Linked DNA regions of Arabidopsis thaliana. The protein of the gene in region 4 interacts with the protein of the main gene of each other region in a pairwise test. Each region holds a gene or a part of one and is shown on either strand. Other genes may lie near its edges. The genes, in order: AT5G56100, TPI, PRA1.E and AT2G25890.

Region 1 (4,849 bases), on a different chromosome or scaffold from region 4:
TATGGTATCAAAATTTCTGGAGATTTAGTATGGTAATCGAAAACTCAAAACCCTTTATGATTTTTTTGTTAAAACTTAAAACAAAACCTTTAATAATAAATAAAATTTGATAGGTATTTAGATATGTACTTGCATATTATGTCGGACTTTTAAAATAAAAGTTTAGATCGTTTGAACATCCAAAAATCATTAAGTAAGTCAGATAAAAAAAAAAAAAATTATTTTTTTTATCATAAAAAATTAAAGGAAAAAAAAAATTAATTGTTTTTTTGCTATTGATGTATGTTGTTTCCTGTTTTCGTTCAACACATCGTGTCGTTTTTATACCCGGACATTGTTAGTGTCTACCATATAGCCACCACAGCAAAACCCGAACCCGGAAATATTCGGGTCGGGTCGAAGTTGCAGAATGAGATTTGATTTGCCATACTTTTTGTCGCCTGAACGCAAAAACCTTGCTTAAACCCTAGAGAGATAGAGATGTTTCGGGCGGTTGGATCGGCTCTGAAGAGGAACAAAGAAGCGTTTAATGGAATTGCTCGAGGATTCACCACTTCGTCTCATCGAGTTTTCACTTCTAACATTACAGCTGCTTCTGTAACCTCTGCTTCGTCTTCTCCTTTAGCTGGAAACTCCTTCTATGGCTTGCGATCTCTGCTCAAGGTAGTGTGAATAATTTCCCAAAAAGGTTGATACTTTTTCGTTAAAGGTTGAGACTTTTGATCAGGGTTATGTTAAACTTGAGATTTTTGGTTACTTTTAGAGGATCCTGAGATTGGGCTCTGATCAGGATTATGTTTTGTGTAGGGTCAAAATGCTTCAATGTTTAGGAGGATGTCAACTGTAGCGTCGATAAGCTCAGAGAGTAAAGAGGGTTTGAAGCTTCTTGTCACTGGAGGACCTCAAGCTCAGAAATGGGTTGGAATTTGGCTTTTTGGTTCGGCTGCTTGGGTTTTCAGCATGGTTGTACTTGGCGGTGTAACCCGATTAACTCGATCTGGTTTATCGATGACTGATTGGAAATTTACTGGTGAATTCCCTCCTCTGTCAGATGAAGCTTGGGCTAAGGAGTTTGAGAAATATAAGCAGTCACCTGAATATAAGCGGTTAGTGTTTCGATTTTGGTAGCTAAAGCTGTTGCTTGCATTTGCGTTTTCTGTATTTGGACGAAGTCTTGATCTTGAAAATGCTGTTTGTGTTTTGGGATTTGGTGTTTTGTAGTGTGAACAAAGGGATGAACCTTGAAGATTTTAAGTTCATATATTGGATGGAGTATGCTCATCGAATGTGGGGAAGAGGATTGGGAATCATGTTTGCTTTGCCGTTTTCTTATTTTCTGCGTAAAGGGTATATTACTCTACGTCTTGGAGTTCAGCTCTCTGGTTTATTTGCGCTTGGTGCTGGACAAGGTTTCATTGGTTGGTGGATGGTTAAAAGTGGTTTAGAGGTAAGCATTAGGAAGTGTGGTAGATCCTCTTATTAGATGTTGTTATGTGCTGAATATTGTGTAACCAACCAGTAATCAGTTTGGTCTTGTAGGAGCCACCGTCTGAGTATTCTCAACCGAGGGTAAGCCCATACCGTCTTGCAGCTCACCTGACCTCAGCTTTTGCCATTTATTGTGGACTTTTCTGGACCGCTCTCTCTGTTGTTATGCCTGAACCACCAGCTGAGTCACTGGCTTGGGTTCGCGGAGCAGCTAAAGTGAAGAAGCTTGCATTACCAGTAAGCTTGATTGTTGGTATCACTGCAATTTCAGGAGCATTTGTTGCTGGAAATGATGCTGTAAGTAAACTAACAAAGTTGGATCTAAGCTTCTATTATATTAGTTACAGAAAGGAAGCTTAGTATATTGATCTCTCTGTTTGTGAATTTTAGGGTCGTGCATTCAACACATTTCCCAAAATGGGTGACACATGGATCCCAGATAATATATTTGAGATGAAACCACTTTTACGCAACTTTTTCGAGAACACAGCAACTGTTCAGGTACACCATTGACACAAAGCTTTCTCAATTTGCTTCAAGAATCTCAAAAAGACTGAAAAATTACTTAAATTTCAGCTTGATCATCGCCTTCTGGCAACCACAACATTAATCGCAATCGGAACAATGTGGTGGTTCACAAGGAAGCTAGACATACATCCAGCTGTTAAAGCTTTGATCGGAAGTACTGTTGGAATGACTGCTGTTCAGGTAAAATCAATCATCATAAACTTTAATGGAAACCTAAAATCAAAACCATTGATAAGGTTTCCCTTTTTGTATTTTGCAGGTGACATTAGGTGTATCAACGCTTCTGAGTTATGTTCCGGTTTCACTAGGAAGTGCACACCAAGCAGGAGCTTTAACACTTCTCACTTTGATGCTACTTCTCAATCACACTCTTCGGAGGCCATCACCTTCTCTTCTCAAATCTCTTCCACAAGTTGCTAAATCAAATTTCAGCTAAGCCCTCTTCACCAAAATCTTTCCTTTTTCATTATTTACTAAAAAAACAATTCTTTGGCTCACTATGCTACTAGCAAGCTTTCATCGAATCTTGTGTCAATGATGTTGTATGGTTCGAAAAATAAAGTACAAAAACAATTAACAAAAGTTTCATATGAATCCCAGAACTCTGATAACTTTCATTGATAGCTTCGTGTTGTTTGTTTCATTGCCAATAGAAAATCATTGGATAATTCTAGTTTTAGAGTCAATAATTTCTTATACCAATTTGGTTCAGTGGTAAATTTTAGTTCGGTTTTAGTTTAGATACGATTCGGTTAATTCAGTCCGGTTCAAATCCGTAAGCCTTGTGGTTGTGGATAATGTTTCGAGACAGTTTTTTGGCGTTTTGGATATACAAGACTATCCACGTGTCGTAATACTGTAGCTTATCGGTATCCACGTGTCAGTAGCCTACCATCTTCCTTTCTATATAGCCATGGTACAAAATTCTTTGTTCAACTTCACACTACTACTATGGAGAATCCTGGAGGAAGGAGAAGAAGAGACATAGCCATAACCGATGGAGAAAGAACGACCGGTTCTTCGGTTGTGGCTGCAACCGTAGCAGCTGTTGCAGTGGTAGGACCGCTTTTTGGTCTGATGAGTTTCAGCTTTGTGGCGACGGTGACTCTGTTTCTGATCGCTTCTCCATTGCTGCTGATATTTGCTCCAGCTTTTATGGTAACGGTAGCGGTTCTTGTGTCGGCTATGGTTGGTGTTGGGGTAGCTGCAGCCATGTGGATGATGGGAATAGCCGCTTTGGTATGTTGTGGCCGAGAGATTGGTATTGAAACCGGACTGGCTGGGAGGATGGTTGAGTCGGTGGTGAGAGAATTAGGTTACGGTCGGAGTCGTTACTTGCGAGACAAATCAGAGGATAGTTATTCAACTTCTTCTCCTTCTTCTCGGGATTACTCTTCTTCTTAGTTCAAACTTGGAAAAAGTCTCATGATTCATGGGAATTTCAAGAAGATGGTGAATAAAGAAACAAAAAAAAACAGAGACATGGCTATGATAAGAAAACAAAATTAAGTAGATTTTTTCGAGAGTGAAAATTTGTAATATCTATCCAAAGAAAATCTAGTAATGCTATATCATTTTTTTCAAGTTGTGTTTTTTCCCAAGTCAAGACAAATAGCAAACAGATGAAAACCAAAAATAATAGAATAAATAAATTGTAAGTTTCTTTAGGTCAAAACAGATTGTTAAGTTTAATTGATATAATAATTTTCAAAGATAAAATTAATCACAAGTTGTGGGGGATGGATTATCCGAAGTACAATCACCATGTCTATCTGAATTGTTTGAATTATCCAAATCCACATTATCCGGATTATTATCCATATTATCGAAAACATAGTTTTCCAATTTTTTTTTTTTTTTTTTGATAAAATGTGAATTATATTACCAAAAGGAAAGAGGTTATTTACAAAGCTGGGGGCAAGGAGCTTCTATGGCCAAAAAAAAATAAAAAGCCTTAGATAACTATTACAGAGAAACTGAAACTAATTTTCCAATGTTAACAAGATAAATACATATATGTCTGTAAAGTATAATGTATTAATTATCAATTGATTTTGAATTAGAAGTCTAAGAATTTTATAAGTGTCTCTCATCTAATTTTCAAATTCAAAAGTATACTACTATATCTATTCCATAAATATTACTATATATTTACATTTTGATCGATATTCAAGTTTGTAATAATGTGGATTTACCACTACTTGTTTACAACAAAAGATGACACAAGTAGGGTCCTTCGTGATTTAGAACAAAAGGTACAAGTTCGTACGCGAAAAAGGTACTTCTACAAGATTCTGTGCTTTTCACGAATGCTCTCATAGTCTCACTAATGCACACGAACGCTTTCGCAATATTCTCCGTACTTGTCGGTACTTCACGAATACATTCCCTTACAAAATGAAAAAAAAGTTGTCATAACTTTTTAAAAAAAATCGTGTCATAACTTCAATATGATCACAAATTATATTAAAAAAGAGTACAATTTCACTTCATAATCCAAAGGCTAGTTTGTTATCCAAGTCGTTCTACCAATCCCCAAAATGTTTAAAAGTTGGAGTTTGCATAGAGAATATCAGAAGAATTATATAATCTAAGTGTAAATATATGAAGAATATAATTTTATGGGTGAATAATCTGAATGTAAAAGGAGTTGACCAGGCGTTGAGTGGGTGACCTACCGGCTTAAGGGAATCACACGCTCTGTAGCGTTGAATTCTTTAAAGAGTTTAATCAATTCATGCACATCTGATGCTAATTTTTACTATGTTTTCATTTTTGTTAAATCAATTTTATTATATATATACATACATTTCCTTTCTTCTTTTGCAATTTA
Region 2 (7,075 bases), on a different chromosome or scaffold from region 4:
AATTTTGGATTTCAAGTTAGATAACAGACGAAAAAATAGAGATTGAATCTAATTTTTCAAAATAATCAATTTTTGTTTTGCATATTTTTTTCAACGTTGTTTTTCAACTTTATACATATGCGCAATCAATGCATTATCTCTGATATAAAAAAGGGAAAGAAAAAAAAACAGTGCATTTTTCACGCCAATCATCAATTCACTATTAATAATTACAATTTCTTTTAGTTAAAGAAAATTAAAACTAGGTAAAAAAGTTAAGTAAACAAAAAAAAAAAAAACTTTCCCACTAGCAAATATCAAATTCAAAGTTGAGATTTCAAAATTTTTTATCTGAAATTTATACAATAATGAACATCAAACTTAACTTTAATTTTATTTACCAAAACCAAACAAATATTCTACTTATTCCTTAAAATAGAAAAATCTGAAAAATAGAGAGAAAGCTGACCTTAACATCTCTGACACCAGCACGAACCAAAGCGTTGTTAAGATTCCTCATCGCCGGTAAGAGATTATTGATCATGTTATTATCTCCGGTGAGCAGAATCTCATTTCCGACTGAGATATACTTAATCTTCGTCTGAGGATGAAACGGCAAAATGTTAACCGAAACCCACCGACGAGCTTGTCTTCCGTTAGCCAACGCCGGAATATCACCGTTAGGAACGGTGACAACGACGGAGATACCAGTTCCAGCGAAGGCACGTAGGATATCGGGATTCACATCGAAGATCTTGACGCTATCAATCGAAGTTTGTGTCTTGATAAAGTTAGCCACCTGAGTCGGTGGTGGGAGGTTTCCGAGAGTTCCGTAGTTAACACCGATGGCGGAGATCACGGCGGGGATGGTGAGGAATACGGCGGCGCAGAGGAGGAGGAGAAGAGAGATTGACGGTGGCGCTTTGGCCATCTTTTTATATTTCGGAAATGAGAAAACCAAACGATTCCAAGTGAAACCCGTGAATCGTTTGAGTTGTGTTTTTATTATTACGACGAATAGATTTTTTTATTCTTATCGAGAAAGTATTTATAATAAAAATTAATAGATATGACCGTTTTGTATAGCGTATACGTGTGTATATTTTTAGTGAGGAACAGCTGGATTTTGTGGAAAGCAAAATAAAAGAAGAAGTTTGTGTTGTCTTTGTTTTTCATGTGCGTCGGCTTAAATTTAGGCCGTTGTAAATTATTGAAAAAGTGGATTTTGTTGTGACCGTGGAAACTTTAGTTAATTAATTTGGCTAATTATAGAGTCTGCTTTTGTTTGGATAATCAATTTGTCATCTTTTTCTTTAATGGTTTTTGGCTGGTAAATACTCATACTATCCAAGTTTAATCTAAAAATATACCTCTTTCTTGTTAATCGTAATTTTACAATCCTAATTTTATCCAGATACGGATGAACTATATTTGAAAAAAAGGAACTAAAGTGAAGTTAAGAAAACAAAAGAGAGATCGAGTGTTGTTTTTTCTTGGATACGTTTATTAAAAGATGTTCTTAATGAGGTCAAAGGAGACTATCTGAGTTTTTACTGCTAAACTTAAAACTAAAAAAAAAATCGATTAGTAATATTGATGTATCAACGAAATGTATATGGTTAAATATTAAGTGAAAAGAAAAAGAAGAGAGATCGACGCGGTTTGGGATAATGCCATTGGCCCATTGGACACGTGTTTGTAGGAGGAATAGTTTGGAGTTTGAACACTACGGACCAAAGTCAAAGAGATTCGAAGTATGAAGATGTTGTTGAGGAAGCTGATTCGAAGTAACTTTTACCGACACGCTTTAGCCATTTGTTATGCTTTCTTTGGGAAAAGAAGATCCGCGTCCATGTCTCATTGTTAACAGTTTATTGTCATTTTCAATGACATGGTTACACTCATTGCACACACACACAAACCACGTAATTTTGTATTTTTTTAATTAAATCCCATCCTTATTTTTTGCAATAACAAATTACCATTGTTACTTTTTAATGATATCACATAAAATAATCGATGCCACTCGATAGCCCTTTAGACTAACAATATGTTTGTTGAAGTATGCCACAATGTTTGAAGTGAGCCGGCTCAATGCTCTCATGGTGGTTTAGTAGTTTAACTTGAGAACTTACAACAGTTTTCTCCTTCTCCACACTATTTGTATCCAAGAAGGGGCATTACAATATAGAATTGCATAATACGATTTAAACTTTTACCAAAAAAAAAAAAGAAAAAAAAAGAAAGAATTGCGTAATACAGAATTTATCTTTAAGGGAATACAAATATAATTTGGTTTCAGAATCATCTCAATAGGCTTTCCTTTAACCAAACTTGGGTTTTATTGATGTGCTTGCTTTAATGGGCCTAAAGCCCATACAACAGCATCACTATCCACGCCGTTGTCTATTCTTATTATTCACCCCACCCGGTACACCGACCAAACCTTGGCCAACACGTCCATAATATTTCATCCTCCCTCCTAATTTACTTTAATATCCTCAACTTTCCTAATCGTTCAGGGAATATTCTCATATACCCTAGACATATGCGTCTTTTCCAATCTAAAATGTTGAGAGTATATTTTTATTTATATATATATGAGTGACCCCTGCGAGAGACAACGGCCACTGAACACTATCGATCTAATCTTTTCAGCTCTCTCCATCGTCGTCGTATCTGTGACTCTCGTGATCATCGCCTGAAAAAAATTTGAGATAATGGCCAGAAAGTTCTTCGTCGGAGGCAACTGGAAATGTGTAAGTGATCTTTACCTTCTATTGCGCACCTTATTATTAGTCTTGTCACTTGATCCTTCCCCGATCAAGTCAAAGAGATCGGAAAATCCCGATCTTAAGATCTAAGGTTTTTTTCATTATTTGTAGCGGTGGAATTTGAATTGTAATGCATATGGTTCAGATTTGTCGATTCTATGCCGGATCTTAGTTGTTTTTTTTTGTCAAAATTTTGAGTAGGAATTTTTCTTCAATTGATATCTCGTGTTCTAGCTTTGGTGGATCCGTGTGTTAATTTTGTTGGTTAAACTATTTTAACATGTTAATATTTGAATTTGTAATCTTATATAGAACGGAACTGCTGAGGAGGTGAAGAAGATTGTGAACACTCTTAATGAAGCTCAGGTTCCTTCACAGGATGTTGTAGGTATGTGTAGCATCTCAATTGCTTTGACGACATTATGGCTTTTTTTTTAATTTCCATGTCTATGAAATCTTAAGTAGTGACAAATATTTTGGGCATACAATTACAAACCTGTTTCAATGTACATCGATGTTCTATAGTGTTTATGCTTCTTAGGAACCATGGATAGATCTAGTGTTTGTTGTTAGTTAAAATGTTCTTTATCATATACTTGTTATGGTTCTATCTTTGTTGATAGTTATAAGTATGTTTGTTCTTGTATTAATAATTTGATGAAATTTTACTAAATGCAGAGGTTGTGGTTAGCCCTCCATATGTTTTTCTTCCCCTGGTTAAGAGCACATTGAGGTCTGACTTTTTTGTTGCGGCACAAAACTGTTGGGTTAAGAAAGGAGGTGCTTTCACTGGTGAAGTGAGGTGAGATTCTAACCATTGGTGTATACTTTAAGCTGTTTTACCATTATTGCTTCATGCAGTAAATATTTATGGTTTTGAAAATGAATATGATTGTGTTTATAAACGAATCGATTTTTCCATCTGTTCTTCTTCTTTATCTTCTTTCCTATAAGAATTGTGTAACCTAAGTGATTAAGAAAACAACTAGTAGTTGGTAGTAAGACCATGATTGGATTCGTGCCTGGTTAGACAAGTAGGTGTAATATGATTTACCTGTCTATGGAATGCTTTCATAGGAAGAAAAGATATATTCTGTGGTGCCTGTATTTCCTGCTCTTATGCATTGTGTAATTTGTGTGTTTTAGTGCGGAGATGCTTGTGAACTTGGATATTCCATGGGTTATCCTTGGTCACTCTGAAAGGAGGGCAATCCTTAATGAATCAAGCGAGGTTGGTGACTTTACATGATAAAATAATTTTCTGGAGACTCAAATAGCTTTTAAATTCATGATTTTGGTTTTTGACCTCTATCCTACATTTGTAGTTCGTCGGAGACAAGGTTGCCTATGCACTTGCTCAAGGTTTGAAAGTGATTGCTTGTGTTGGTGAGACTCTTGAGGAGCGGGAAGCTGGATCGACCATGGATGTTGTGGCTGCCCAGACCAAGGCTATTGCCGGTATGTATATTGTCAAACATTTAATCTCTTTTTGCTATCTCAGTTCGTTCTCGTTTACAGTGAGACCTGTTTTGATGATAGTGATGCCCGTTTCTACGCACTATACTCCCTTAGTGTGTGATTCAAACCCCACAGAAATATTTGTTGGCTAAAAAACTCTTTTTGTTGGTAATGGCAGATCGGGTGACAAACTGGTCAAATGTTGTCATAGCCTATGAACCAGTGTGGGCCATTGGAACCGGAAAGGTCGCTAGCCCAGCCCAAGCTCAAGAAGTAAGTGGTTCTCGATGCGCAGTTGCACTGTAACGTGTTGCATATGGTCATGATTTAATAGGAAAACCAATGCTGTTTTCCTTACGAGAGCTTGTTTCGTTTATGAACAGGTACACGATGAGCTGAGGAAATGGCTGGCCAAGAACGTGAGTGCTGATGTCGCTGCTACAACCCGCATCATTTATGGAGGTAGATAGATGATAACACGATCTTTAATTAAACACCCCTATATAGTTTTCTATGTTACTTAGCTTGATTATGCAAATTATTATCAGGATCCGTCAATGGTGGTAACTGCAAGGAGCTAGGTGGACAGGCCGATGTTGATGGTTTCTTGGTCGGTGGTGCTTCTCTAAAGGTACATATAATATGGTTTCTCTTGTAATGATATCTTTCGTTTGTCTCTTTCAAAACCATGACTAATGTTTTCATTCTTGGTCTTTTTGCAGCCTGAGTTTATCGACATCATTAAGGCCGCAGAGGTGAAGAAAAGTGCCTAATGAGCTCATTAAGCAATTTAAAAGTCCTTTGCTTTTCCAGTCGCAACTCTGAAAAAATGAATAAGTTGGTATTATGATATGATACATTTTGCTTCAGTTGTATTTGGCAAAAGTTTCTCTCTTACTATATTGTTTTGAGAACGCAACAATCATTTTCTTCGCCATTTATTTAGCTGTGGACTTGCAATTTGCAAATCCCTTCCTTTTACAGTCTTCTCAACTCTTCAGAGAATCTGTGTTTGGAGTTCATAACCCCTCGGGCCTTTTGATCAAACCCCTATTTCTAATGTCGTCCGATCATAAACCTGTGTGTTATATAATATGTTGTTTGTTCCATTTTAGACTTTGGTATTTTGTCATGCTTGATCTCTGAATCATGCTGTCAACCACTTTGAAAATGGCTTTACTTGTTAAATAAATGACGAGAGAATACAGGAGAAGTGGGAAATGACTTTATTTTTTCCCTTTTATCGCTTTTTGCCTATTGGTCTGTCATTTTTGACATTTTAGCTTTTAGAACATTATTATTTTCAACTTTATTGTCATCATCTTGAAAAATGTCCAACATTACGAAATTATTATGTAGAGAGTAAAAAAGGAAAAGAAATTTCATGGAGAAACTCATTGTATTAGGAATGTCAATGTTTGTAGAAAACAAAATGCTTATGTAATTTGAGTAAAACGGCTCAGTGGAACTAAAGTGATAATGTAAAAGAGACGGTTAAGTCCAAAATAAGAGCTCCCGTATGTCAGAATTGTTCAAACCATTTATTAAAAAATTGGACTCAGTATGATGAAAATGTGTATGGATTTTGATCCGACCACGAAAATCCAACTAGTGCCAATAAAAACTCCACAATATGTGACTCAGCTACAAATGTGATAACGTATTATCTCCCAAGTCAACCCACATTTCTGGTGACTTATATTTTATTTATTTCTGAGTAATATTTAAGAAAGTAGGGATTGAATTTTTATGAGTATTATATTATATAGTTGACCTTGGACTTATTTGCGTAACGAGCAAACAATTGTGACCTTAGAAATGGAGGTTTGACTAAGTCATCGATCATTTCAGCAATAGAGTAATTTTGGGTCCGTATGACTCAAAACAAGTTTTGGTAAAAAATTTCTCTGTTTTAAAAACTTGTATTTATAAAACTTATGTCCCATCCCATGATACTAAATTTAATTACATTATACGTATGTAGTCAAGCATAATTTTTTCCTGAAAAATCTTATTTTTCTTACCTACTTGTAAACTTTAATTTAATTCCTGGTTAAGTAGATATTTTTCTTAGTTCTTACAAATCTTATATTTTCTTACCTACTTTTATAAACATTTTTGAGACCACTATTACTAAACCCGAATCTGTTTCATCATTCCACACCCAAAGCATATAAATCGAAAATATCTATGATCACATGAATATCTATCATTTTCGACAAAATTTGTCCTTTTTTTTCTTTCTTTTTGTATCCAACCCCACCACGGCGAATTTATTTCAGGCCTATTAAAGATTCCAAAATCTCATGACCATCTGACTCAGATGTCATATCTATTAAAAACGTTATTTTGAATCTTAAACATATATCATTAGTGATCTTTTTGCACGTTTACTCAGATGCTTAAGATCATCAAAATCAATCTATGAATTTCAAAAGTTTTAAAAATCATACAATAGAAAAGTCCCACTGATCATTAAATTGTTATTACTAATTTTATTTAGAACTCGTTTATTATCTTTTGGTCAAAAATATAACTTTTGTCTGAATTCGTTTTTTTTTTGTTTGGACAAGAAAAAGACCTTTCTTCTTCCTTCGGTTGCCTCTACCATCTCATCAACACACATCTTCTCTTTCTCTTCTCTCATCCTCTCTCTTCTTCAGTGTTTACTTTTTCTCTTTCTCTTTTTTTTTTCTCTTTATTATTTCGCTTTAATGAGTTTTATCTGATAGAATCTGCTCCACCCAAAAACAGCATAAGAAGAAATTCATTGTCAGAGAAAAGTGCAAAAAAAAAAAACGATCTTCTTCATCATTCTACTAAATGGGTTCTTGTCTCAGTTCTCGTGTCCTTAGTACGTTCTC
Region 3 (4,740 bases), on a different chromosome or scaffold from region 4:
GAGCTAAATCTGCGAAGTCGAGTTTGAGTTTGGATGTAAAGAAGGAATCTTTGGGGAAGCTCAAGACTTCTTCGGGTTCTAAGTCTATTCCTTCTTCCCCTACGAGTTGTTACTCACTGCCTAATTCTTTTGCAAAGTTTGCTAATGGGATTAAGCAGCAACAGACTGTGAAGCCAAAGTTATTGGAGAAGGGTTCTCCTAGAATGGGGTTGTCAGAGAAGGGCCGGTCTCTTCTTAAAGCGGAGAGTCCGAAAGTTGGGAAAAAGCTTCCCATGATTAAGAATTTTGTGCAGGGGATTGAGTTTGGAGCTAAGGCGTTGAGGAAAAGCTGGGAAGGGAATTTAGATATCAGGGGTTCAGATAGAACAAAATCCAGCCTTCCCAGACGTGATTTAACCCCTGATTCCCGGAGTTTAGCAGTAAGCTTTTTCAATTGTATCTTTCTTGGCTTTATATTTGCAAAAGAAACATGTAAAGTGTCATTTCCTATTCATCAGCACTTGACTTGAAGCTGAGACCACTTGTTTGAGAGCATTGTTAAACTTGTTCTATTCATTACTATCTGCTGAATCTAAGTTTGTATTATACTTTCGTCTGTTTTCCTATCAGTCTCATGTTTTTCCATCTGAATTCGTCTGTTACTTCATACAATGTTATTAGTGTTTACTGTTTTCGATTTTCTGAATATAGCTTGTATATTTTTGGTTACTAGGCTCCACGGAGAAGCACATCGAGTGAGAAGTTGCCAAGCAAACAGGAGAGGGCTAATGTATTTGCAAGATCATCGAAGGAGCACAATAAGATACAGTCAACCAAGAAAGTCGAGCCAACTGCAGTGTTGGACACCAAAGATAAAACGAGTAGGCCTAAATCTACATCTGTCGAGAAGAAATCTGTTGCAGAGAATGGATTGCCTGGGAATTTGGTCAAAGTCTCTGTTAATGGTAAAAGATTAGCGGCGGCCAATATCCAATGGAGTTCACTCCCTCCATCTCTTTCGAGGATGGGACAGGTATGGCCTTGACTGCTCTTGGATCCTTATATGTGCTTGCTTCATTAATAGGCTTTGAAGCATTTCTAGTGATTAAGAAAATTCATCTTCAAAACAAGCAGTTTAGAAATTCGATCATCCAAACTAACATATTTACTCTGGTGATTGAAGAGAACCTCTTAGTATAGCATATGCATCTTATGTTTTGGTCTTTGACATCGTGATTAAATATTAAGACAGCTTATTGAGTCATTGCTGCTATCAATATTTGCAGGAAGTATTGAGGCATAGAGAAGCTGCTCAAGTAGTCGCAATAGAGGCCCTGCAAGAAGCCTCTGCTTCCGAGAGCTTACTTCAGTGCCTCATGTGCGTAATATCTTAACCAAGTTTTATTCAGGCCGGCTTTGGATGTTTGAGGGACAAAACATAAATGTTTTTTGTATCTGAATGTTATTGTTACTGCCTTGGTGGTTTCTGAACTTTGTTCTGCTTTTCCTTTTTGTAGTATGTACTCCGATCTTTTGTCAACGGCGAAGGAAGATGATCCATTGCCAGTCGTTGAGCAGTTCTTGAAGCTCCATTCCGGTTTGAAAAACGTCCAAGTAATAACAGAGTCATTGTCCAAATTACTCTCTTTGATGTCCTCCCCAGATAATGAAGAAAACAGATCCGAGGAAGCTATAAAAGCGGCATCGGAAAAGCAGAAATTGGCAGCCTCATGGGTCCAAGCTGCGTTAGTCACTAACTTATCGCCCTTCTCTGTCTACTCCAGCAAACAAGCCAAACTTGCTGCCTCCAGGAGCAAACCCGTGATCATACTCGAGAGCCCGGGTAATAATTCCTCTAGTAAAACCCGTGGGAATATTCAAAACAAGCCAACGATTGGATCTAAACTCGTAGCACAAGGAATGATCCGTAAACACAGGGAGAACAGTAGCAGCCAGAAAGCCACCTCGGTAGCAGGGTCAGAGTCTCCACCGTTAAACTGGGTGAAAGGGAATGGTCTAAACGAGGCAACTGATCTGGCAGAGAAGTTGCAAATGGTTTCACAAGATTGGTTTTTGGGTTTCGTAGAGAGATTCTTAGACGCTGACGTGATTACATCATCCAGTCTCAGTCTGTCTGATAATGGGCAGATTGCGGGGATGCTGTCTCAGCTGAAGAGTGTGAATGATTGGTTAGACGAGATTGGATCGAAAGAGGATGAAGAAGGGTTACAAGAAGTCTCTAAGGAAACAATCGATCGATTACGGAAGAAGATCTACGAGTATCTGCTCACACATGTGGAGTCAGCAGCTGCAGCACTTGGTGGTGGTGGTGGCTCAGTCTCTTCTCCTAGACCTAAACCAATCGAAACCAAAGCAAAGAGATAAATGATGATGAAGAAGCTTCTACTTGTTTTTTTTTTTTCTTGTATATATGAAAATTGGCGGTCAATTTCTTCTGTATAATTCAGGCATCACTAAGAAGCCTACCGACGTGAAATGTTGGTATTTTTTATTCAGTCAGATACTCACTAAAGAGAACCTATTGGTTCGAAAGATTTCAACATATTTTTTATCCATTAATAACGATATCTCTTCTCTAGCGATTAAAGATTAGAAGATCAGCAAAAACAAAAATATCATTAGAAGACTTAGATCCATCACAATTCTGTAATTTTACAAAAACTATGACGATTCATGATTATGTGGAAATAGAGGCGATCGGTAAAAGTTGATTTGTTTATGGTTTATTTGTAATAATAAAAAAACTACAAGGTCCCAAAAGAAAATAATAATCACCGAACAAGTCCCTCCCATCATCCCATATTCCACATGGACTCTTTGAAATCCAAGGTTTTGCCATTTGACCACAGATTTGTGTTATTTTCAAACACAAAATCAACCAATTCCGATGAATCAGAAACCTCCGCCGTACGGTTATGGCGGCGCTGGTGGTGGAGGAGTCGGTCCTTCTTCCACTTCCAACACCACAATCATCGGGACGTTGAGTGCACGCGCCAAGCAGACGACGCAATCGATGATCACGACGCTCCGTCCATGGCGAGAGATTCTCGATCTGTCCGCGCTCTCTCTCCCTCGCGGGTATGATGAAGCCATGGCGCATCTAAAGCACAACATCTCTTATTTCCGTGGAAATTACGCTCTCGCCGTTCTCGCCATTGTTTTCCTCGGCCTTATTTACCATCCGATGTCTATGATCGCTTTCATCGTCGTCTTCATCGGATGGATTCTTCTCTATTTCTCTCGAGACGCAAACGATTCGATTGTGATTTCGGGGAAAGAAGTAGATGACAAGATCGTGCTGGTTTTACTCAGCTTGGTAACGGTTTTGGCATTGGTATATACAGATGTGGGCGAAAACGTTCTGGTTTCGCTGATCATTGGTTTGCTCATCGTCGGAGCTCACGGCGCTTTTCGTAATACCGATGATTTGTTTCTTGATGAAGAAAGTGCTCGCCGTGGTGGCCTGGTGTCTGCCGGTTCTGGTAACCGGCCACCGTCGAGTTATACCCCAATTTGAGTAAACCGGTTTGGAGAATTACTCGTAATTTCTTGGGTTTTTGATTGAAGAAGCTAAGGGAATCAATTTAGGGCTTTGTATTTTGGATTTCCCAAAGATTCTTGTATTTATATTTTGGCGTGTGTGTTTCATTTTGTTTGAATGTATACAAATTCTGGGAAAAAACAAATTGGTGTTATGGTATTTTATAGAATTGCCAAAAACATAATTTCCGATAGAAAAAGAAAAGTATGCATTAACCAGATGAAATTTCATAATGAACAAAACCAGTATGTTAAATTCAAGAATCCTTTGGTCTACACTCACAGTAGAATCATAAACTGATGCAATAGAAGAAAAACAAAGTTGGGAATAACTACTAACTAGTCTTCTTCAAGATTGATAGAATCTTTGAACTTAGCATACAATACCTTCTTCAGCGCTGCCATTTGTGTTACAATTGATTCCTTCTCTTGCTCGAGTTTCTCAAGGCTTTTGCAGGTCGCTTCTTTCATCTCTTCTATCTTTGTTTCTACGTCGTCCCTCGGCACATGAGCAAACACTTCTCCTATTTGAAAACGCACCATCTCCTCATCAGCAAGGATCAACTCGTTCCCTGCATCCTCTAGATTTTCACACTTTTCCTGCATAAATCAATTGTTTTTTAATCAAGCTAGATGCAGAAACACACAGTAGAATGCTGTTTTAATCCCCCTAATGAAACGATTGAACAAGACAAGTATCCACTTATTATTGCAAAGTCCCACATCTCCCTTTTTGTTTCCTACACATGCTGAACTATCAACACCATTACAATATCTAATTACAGTGATCTGATATACCCTAGCAGGCTTATATTCACCAACGAAGGAGAAAGTTAAGGGAGCAGTGATATGTAAGAGTGCACGGATGGTATAAGCAGGTTACAGTAGATTGGTACAACCTAAAGAGAATGTAAAATGAGATATGAGAGTATAGAGATTCTCTTGTGGGGTTATCTGAATGAAGTAAAATTACAATTTACAACAATCAATAAAATCAGGAATTATCTCAAATAATCTTAATCATGATCCTACACTAGACCAACAACACTTATCATATACTCTCAGGATCATTGTAATTAGCTTTTGTATCGGGTTGTAGCAGTGCTGATTTCATTTCATCAACAAGGAGTTAATCAGTTAGCTGAGAGCAAACCGATGTGTAGTAGATTCATTATTTGGTGAATTCATTACGGGATTGGA
Region 4 (4,886 bases):
GATTGATCGAGCACGATAACTATTATAATAGTCACGAGAGAATGATGTGAAAGTTTAAGAATGCGTCTAAACCAACAATAAAATAATTTAAATAGTTATAATTGAATACACATTCTATATTAGTAAACATTCAAATTATTTAAAATATCTACGAGACACAATAGCCTCCCAACAACCATTCGTACATTCACTTTCTCATTAGAAAGAAAACGTATCCTAATTTGTTGTTTTCTCTATGAATGTTAATATCATCTAATAAGTCCATATAGACTATATCTAATAAATCCATATAGACTATTGTCTCTGAATATCAATGGATTTGAATCTTTGGCCAAAAAATTAAACAAAGAGACAAATGATGTAGAAGTCACATTACATAGTGGGAGTTAAAATTAACCAGAGTTTGCATTAGGTTGCAATAACGCTTGCATTTACGTCTTGCGGTGCTTACGTTCTGAATCTCTTTGTCGATGAGCTTGAAGATAGTTGATATTGGGATCGAGACTTGGTTGTGAACCACATCATTCCTTTGCTTCCACATATATCCTAACATTTATCTAAACAATCTGGTGCTAGAAGAAAGAGATTATCAAACTGATGCAATGACAAACTACGAAACACCACTCCATAACAAAAAAACTTAACCGTATATCGATCCTCAACTTTAGGAATAATCCTAACGCCGCACCCACCCGGCACCTGGCACCCACCACTTGAAAAATTCATAGCTCATGGCCAGTAGGGAACCGCGGAGGAAACTTACTCAGTCCATTGCGAGGATAAGGACAAAAGTACTCCTTCAATTATTCTAGAAAACCAATCAGACGTTGACAAAGAACCTCGTTTGAAAGTACAACTGCTCTACAAGACTGCATTGCCCACTACAAGCAGTGAATGTTGTCCACCCTCAGCTTCTTTATACGTTCGTGAAGCATGCATGTGCATTTTGTTGGTGCGCGCATAGTAAGCCATGCCATGCAATTCAATGCCAATGGTTTACGAACATATAGACAAGTAAAGTTTTCAATTATTTCATGAGTACCTAAAAACCACATTCATAGAACAGTTTGCAAGTATTCGAAATTTGGGAAAACATGCATACGACCTCACCGCATCTCTCAAAGGCCGAATACAATTTTTGAGGAATGATTAAACAAAGAAATATTTTTACAATCACACTAACTACAATACGTTCATGAAGACAACGTAAATGACACGAGCCATTTAGCGCAGCCTTCGAAATTTATTTAGCGAGTATAGATAAAGTGGTTCAAGCCTTGGTATTGATACACAAAATTCACAAACCTTGCAATTTTCTTTTTGAACATAAAAACAACAATATTATTTCAAATCAAACGGACCACACTCAAAACTACATTTACATATACCAAGAAAGCCACCATATAATTCTAGAAGCCAGACGGTGACCAAGTAATTGGCATTTATTAATTTACTTAATTCGTTATCATCTTTCCTTACACTAGCTATTTCACAATCATAAAACAGAAAATACCGATCAGCAATTAAACACACAAAAAATTGTATGGAAAATAGAAAATAAAATTTTAGATAGATCTTTTCAAAAAGGTAAGAACAGTATTAAAAAAACATACGTAGGATAATCATAAAACTTAATACAACATATAGATCCATATAATTATTAAACTCTAATGAGTAGTTGTTGTGGTTTGGTGTGTTTGTTGTGGCTGCGAGTGCGTATAATGTCCCAACTCTTTGGCTTTCTCCGCTATCCTCATCCTCGCGTAATCCACCTTATCCGCTCCCATCGGGTGTTTTCCGGTAACGTACTTATAAATCCACGTTAACGCCGTAGCTGCTGCCACCCCACAACCACCGGAGAATAGGAATCCCATCGTCAAAAGCCCTATCGTTATCACTGCCGGTACCAACACCGGGCTGAACAGAACCATCAACGGCGTCGCTACGATCAAACCGATCACCGTTCCGGTTAGTGTTAGTCCTGAGAGCACGAGGAGTGATAGGCCGATCGTAGCTGCCGTTACGAATCTCACTATCTGCCGAGTCGATGGTGATGATTCATGGAGACTCCTCATTATTGGTTGTTGTTGTTGCTGATGTTGTTGATGATCCGCCATTTCTTTTTTTCTTTTTCTAAGAGAGTATGGATTTAATGTTCTATGTTGTTTTTGTAGCTTTAATAAGCTTACCATTTGTGATTATTATGAAGAATGAAAATAGACTAGTATGAAGGAGAGGCTAAACTTAAACGAGACATGTGTCGAACGACGAGGCGTGTTAGGCAATGGAGAAGAGTGTCACGCGGGCGTGTCAGTTCTGCATGGAGCTACTTTGACGAGGTACTGACACGTGGTTACTTAGTTCCGAATTAAAATCTCATCGTCAAACGATCTTGAAGCTTATTGGGCTATTATCTGGGCTTGTAGTGACTGTATATTATCCTAGTGATTATGAAGTTGGAATACCGTGGGCTTAATAATATCTGGGCCTGTAGCGACTGTATCATCTCGGGAGACAAATTATTTGAAAATAAAAACCTCGATGCAGATGTATCAACACGTGGCAGCATCTGGATTCGACCGTTGCTGCTTTGCTGGTGGTTTACGTTTTTTCCCCTTTTTAAATTTCTCAATTTGGATCTGTTCCCTTTGTGAAAATTACTCTCTCTTCTCTCTTTCTTTCTTCTCTTTCTCTCGCTATCTTGGCTCATCAACGATCTCTTCCATGGGGATTTCTACAGAGACGCAGCAAATTGTAAGAAAATAACTTGTTCTTGGTTTCACAAATTCCAATTTCATTTGGTTCTTTTGTCGAATTTGTTTCAATTTAGGGTTTTACTTCCTTGTTGGTTTGCGTTTTTTCTCTGCGTTTGGTCTGTTCTAATGGAATGTGATCTGGGATTATCGATTTGGTTGCTTGATTTTCTTTGCGCCAGAAAGAATCTTGTTTCAATGTTCTCTGTTTAATTTGAGAAAGACTTGTTGGTATGATTTTGAGAAATTTCATGATATGATTGTGGATTTATTCGTTTACAGCGAGGACCCTAGATTAATTGACAAATCCGTGGATTAGTGTTAAGGAGCTGTTGATTTTATCCTTTTATCTTCAAGTTTTAAAGTATCAATGATTGTTTGTCGTTTATGATTAAGTGTATCTGAGAGTTGATTGGATTTCAATCTTTGTGATAATGTTGTATCAGGCGGCTTCAGAGGCTGCACAAAAGAGATGGACTACAAGCGATTTCGATATCGGAAAGCCACTTGGTAGAGGAAAGTTTGGCCATGTTTATCTAGCAAGAGAGAAACGGGTTAGTGTTTCTTCACAATTATGTTAAACAAGCAGAATTAATTTGATGTCTTTTTTAACCAAGCTGTCTTCTATGTGTCTTTGCAAACAGAGCGATCACATTGTGGCTTTAAAGGTTCTTTTTAAGGCTCAGCTTCAACAATCTCAAGTTGAACACCAGTTACGAAGGGAAGTAGAGATTCAATCTCATCTTCGGCATCCCAATATTCTGCGGCTCTACGGTTACTTCTATGATCAGGTTTTGTGTTATCTGTGCTTGTAAAAGAACTTCTTGTTGACATACAATGTTTGGCTCTGTGAGGTTAACATAGTTTTTGGGATACCGTTGTTGCAGAAAAGAGTTTATTTGATTTTGGAGTATGCTGTAAGGGGTGAGCTTTATAAAGAGCTTCAGAAGTGCAAGTACTTCAGCGAACGTCGAGCAGCAACTGTAAGTCCTAGTGATAATTGAACTTATTCTAGCATGTTAATGTGAATCTGTGTAGTCATACCCTTACGTTTATTGTGGCAGTATGTTGCGTCATTGGCTAGAGCCCTCATCTATTGCCATGGAAAGCATGTAATTCACAGAGATATAAAACCTGAAAATCTGTTGATTGGTGCTCAGGTAACAAATTGAATCTGGTTATCTTTCTCCATCAACGCCATGTGATTGCAGTTAGCTTATGTGTTTATGTATTCATGGATATATGTTTTCAGGGTGAGCTCAAGATTGCAGATTTTGGATGGTCAGTACACACATTCAACCGTAGAAGGACTATGTGTGGCACTTTGGATTACCTTCCACCTGAGATGGGTAAGAGAAAGCTCTCTCTCTCTTGTGTGATTCTAAATTACTTTCTTCGGCAACCAGCTAATTGACTTTTCTGCTTTTGGATTCACAGTGGAAAGCGTTGAACATGATGCGAGTGTCGATATATGGAGTCTAGGAATTCTCTGCTACGAATTTCTTTATGGTGTTCCTCCTTTTGAGGCCAGGGAGCATTCAGAGACATACAAAAGGTAACATGTTCATTAAGCGTAGAATGGGATTAGTATATGATGTTTGGTCAGTGGAATGTACATTAAAGAAGGGTTTTGTTCGACAAATGATACAGGATTGTTCAAGTGGATCTCAAGTTCCCTCCCAAACCCATTGTGTCATCATCTGCAAAGGACCTGATTAGCCAGGTTTCTACTCGCATTCCTCGTAAATCTCTCTAAGTGTTTGTGCATTTGAAGAGTGAATTCTGATTTTCACACTTTCTGATCAAACAGATGTTGGTTAAGGAGTCTACGCAACGTTTGGCCTTGCACAAGCTTCTTGAACACCCGTGGATTGTGCAAAACGCAGACCCATCAGGCCTTTACAGAGGATGAAGCGATGAAGCTAGGAAAAGATTTAAGATTGCATTCTTGGCACTTTGCACCACTTACTGCAAAAAGTCTGACCATTTCATAGTTCTATATATGTAATTGCTGTGTTCCAAAAGTATTTGTACTACATTTTTCTACGAAGTTTATATAGCCACAAGATTCGTGTAACTTTACTCCAATTATTTTCGAATCCTACATCACTTTTTAAATAAAAATTGTTCGGA

What was found.
Region 1: the proteins of AT2G25890 (region 4) and AT5G56100 interact in a protein complementation assay, tested with the Arabidopsis thaliana proteins (one large-scale study listed by BioGRID).
Region 2: the proteins of AT2G25890 (region 4) and TPI interact in a protein complementation assay, tested with the Arabidopsis thaliana proteins (one large-scale study listed by BioGRID).
Region 3: the proteins of AT2G25890 (region 4) and PRA1.E interact in a protein complementation assay, tested with the Arabidopsis thaliana proteins (one large-scale study listed by BioGRID).

What each region holds. Positions count from the first base shown.
Region 1 is NC_003076.8:22,714,154-22,719,002, forward strand, and holds AT5G56100 (glycine-rich protein / oleosin), read left to right. Parts: upstream 1-2,763; 5' UTR 2,764-2,967; coding exon 2,968-3,420; 3' UTR 3,421-3,696; downstream 3,697-4,849. Other genes in the region: COX15 (cytochrome c oxidase 15), read left to right, coding at 481-663, 808-1,106, 1,222-1,447, 1,540-1,785, 1,879-1,989, 2,065-2,196, 2,276-2,452.
Region 2 is NC_003074.8:20,551,095-20,558,169, forward strand, and holds TPI (triosephosphate isomerase), read left to right. Parts: upstream 1-2,308; 5' UTR 2,309-2,699; coding exon 2,700-2,738; intron 2,739-3,065; coding exon 3,066-3,141; intron 3,142-3,431; coding exon 3,432-3,555; intron 3,556-3,899; coding exon 3,900-3,984; intron 3,985-4,078; coding exon 4,079-4,211; intron 4,212-4,389; coding exon 4,390-4,484; intron 4,485-4,594; coding exon 4,595-4,673; intron 4,674-4,759; coding exon 4,760-4,842; intron 4,843-4,933; coding exon 4,934-4,984; 3' UTR 4,985-5,466; downstream 5,467-7,075. Other genes in the region: AT3G55430 (O-Glycosyl hydrolases family 17 protein), read right to left, coding at 449-910; PBL1 (PBS1-like 1), read left to right, coding at 7,035-7,075.
Region 3 is NC_003070.9:2,806,046-2,810,785, forward strand, and holds PRA1.E (prenylated RAB acceptor 1.E), read left to right. Parts: upstream 1-2,714; 5' UTR 2,715-2,887; coding exon 2,888-3,517; 3' UTR 3,518-3,730; downstream 3,731-4,740. Other genes in the region: AT1G08760 (GPI-anchored adhesin-like protein, putative (DUF936)), read left to right, coding at 1-419, 713-1,012, 1,266-1,357, 1,497-2,364; AIP3 (ABI3-interacting protein 3), read right to left, coding at 3,880-4,140. UniProt on the Arabidopsis thaliana protein: May be involved in both secretory and endocytic intracellular trafficking in the endosomal/prevacuolar compartments.
Region 4 is NC_003071.7:11,034,666-11,039,551, reverse strand, and holds AT2G25890 (Oleosin family protein), read right to left. Parts: upstream 2,250-4,886; 5' UTR 2,193-2,249; coding exon 1,668-2,192; 3' UTR 1,373-1,667; downstream 1-1,372. Other genes in the region: AUR2 (ataurora2), read left to right, coding at 2,542-2,754, 3,200-3,307, 3,398-3,544, 3,641-3,736, 3,818-3,913, 4,006-4,102, 4,191-4,308, 4,404-4,476 and 1 more.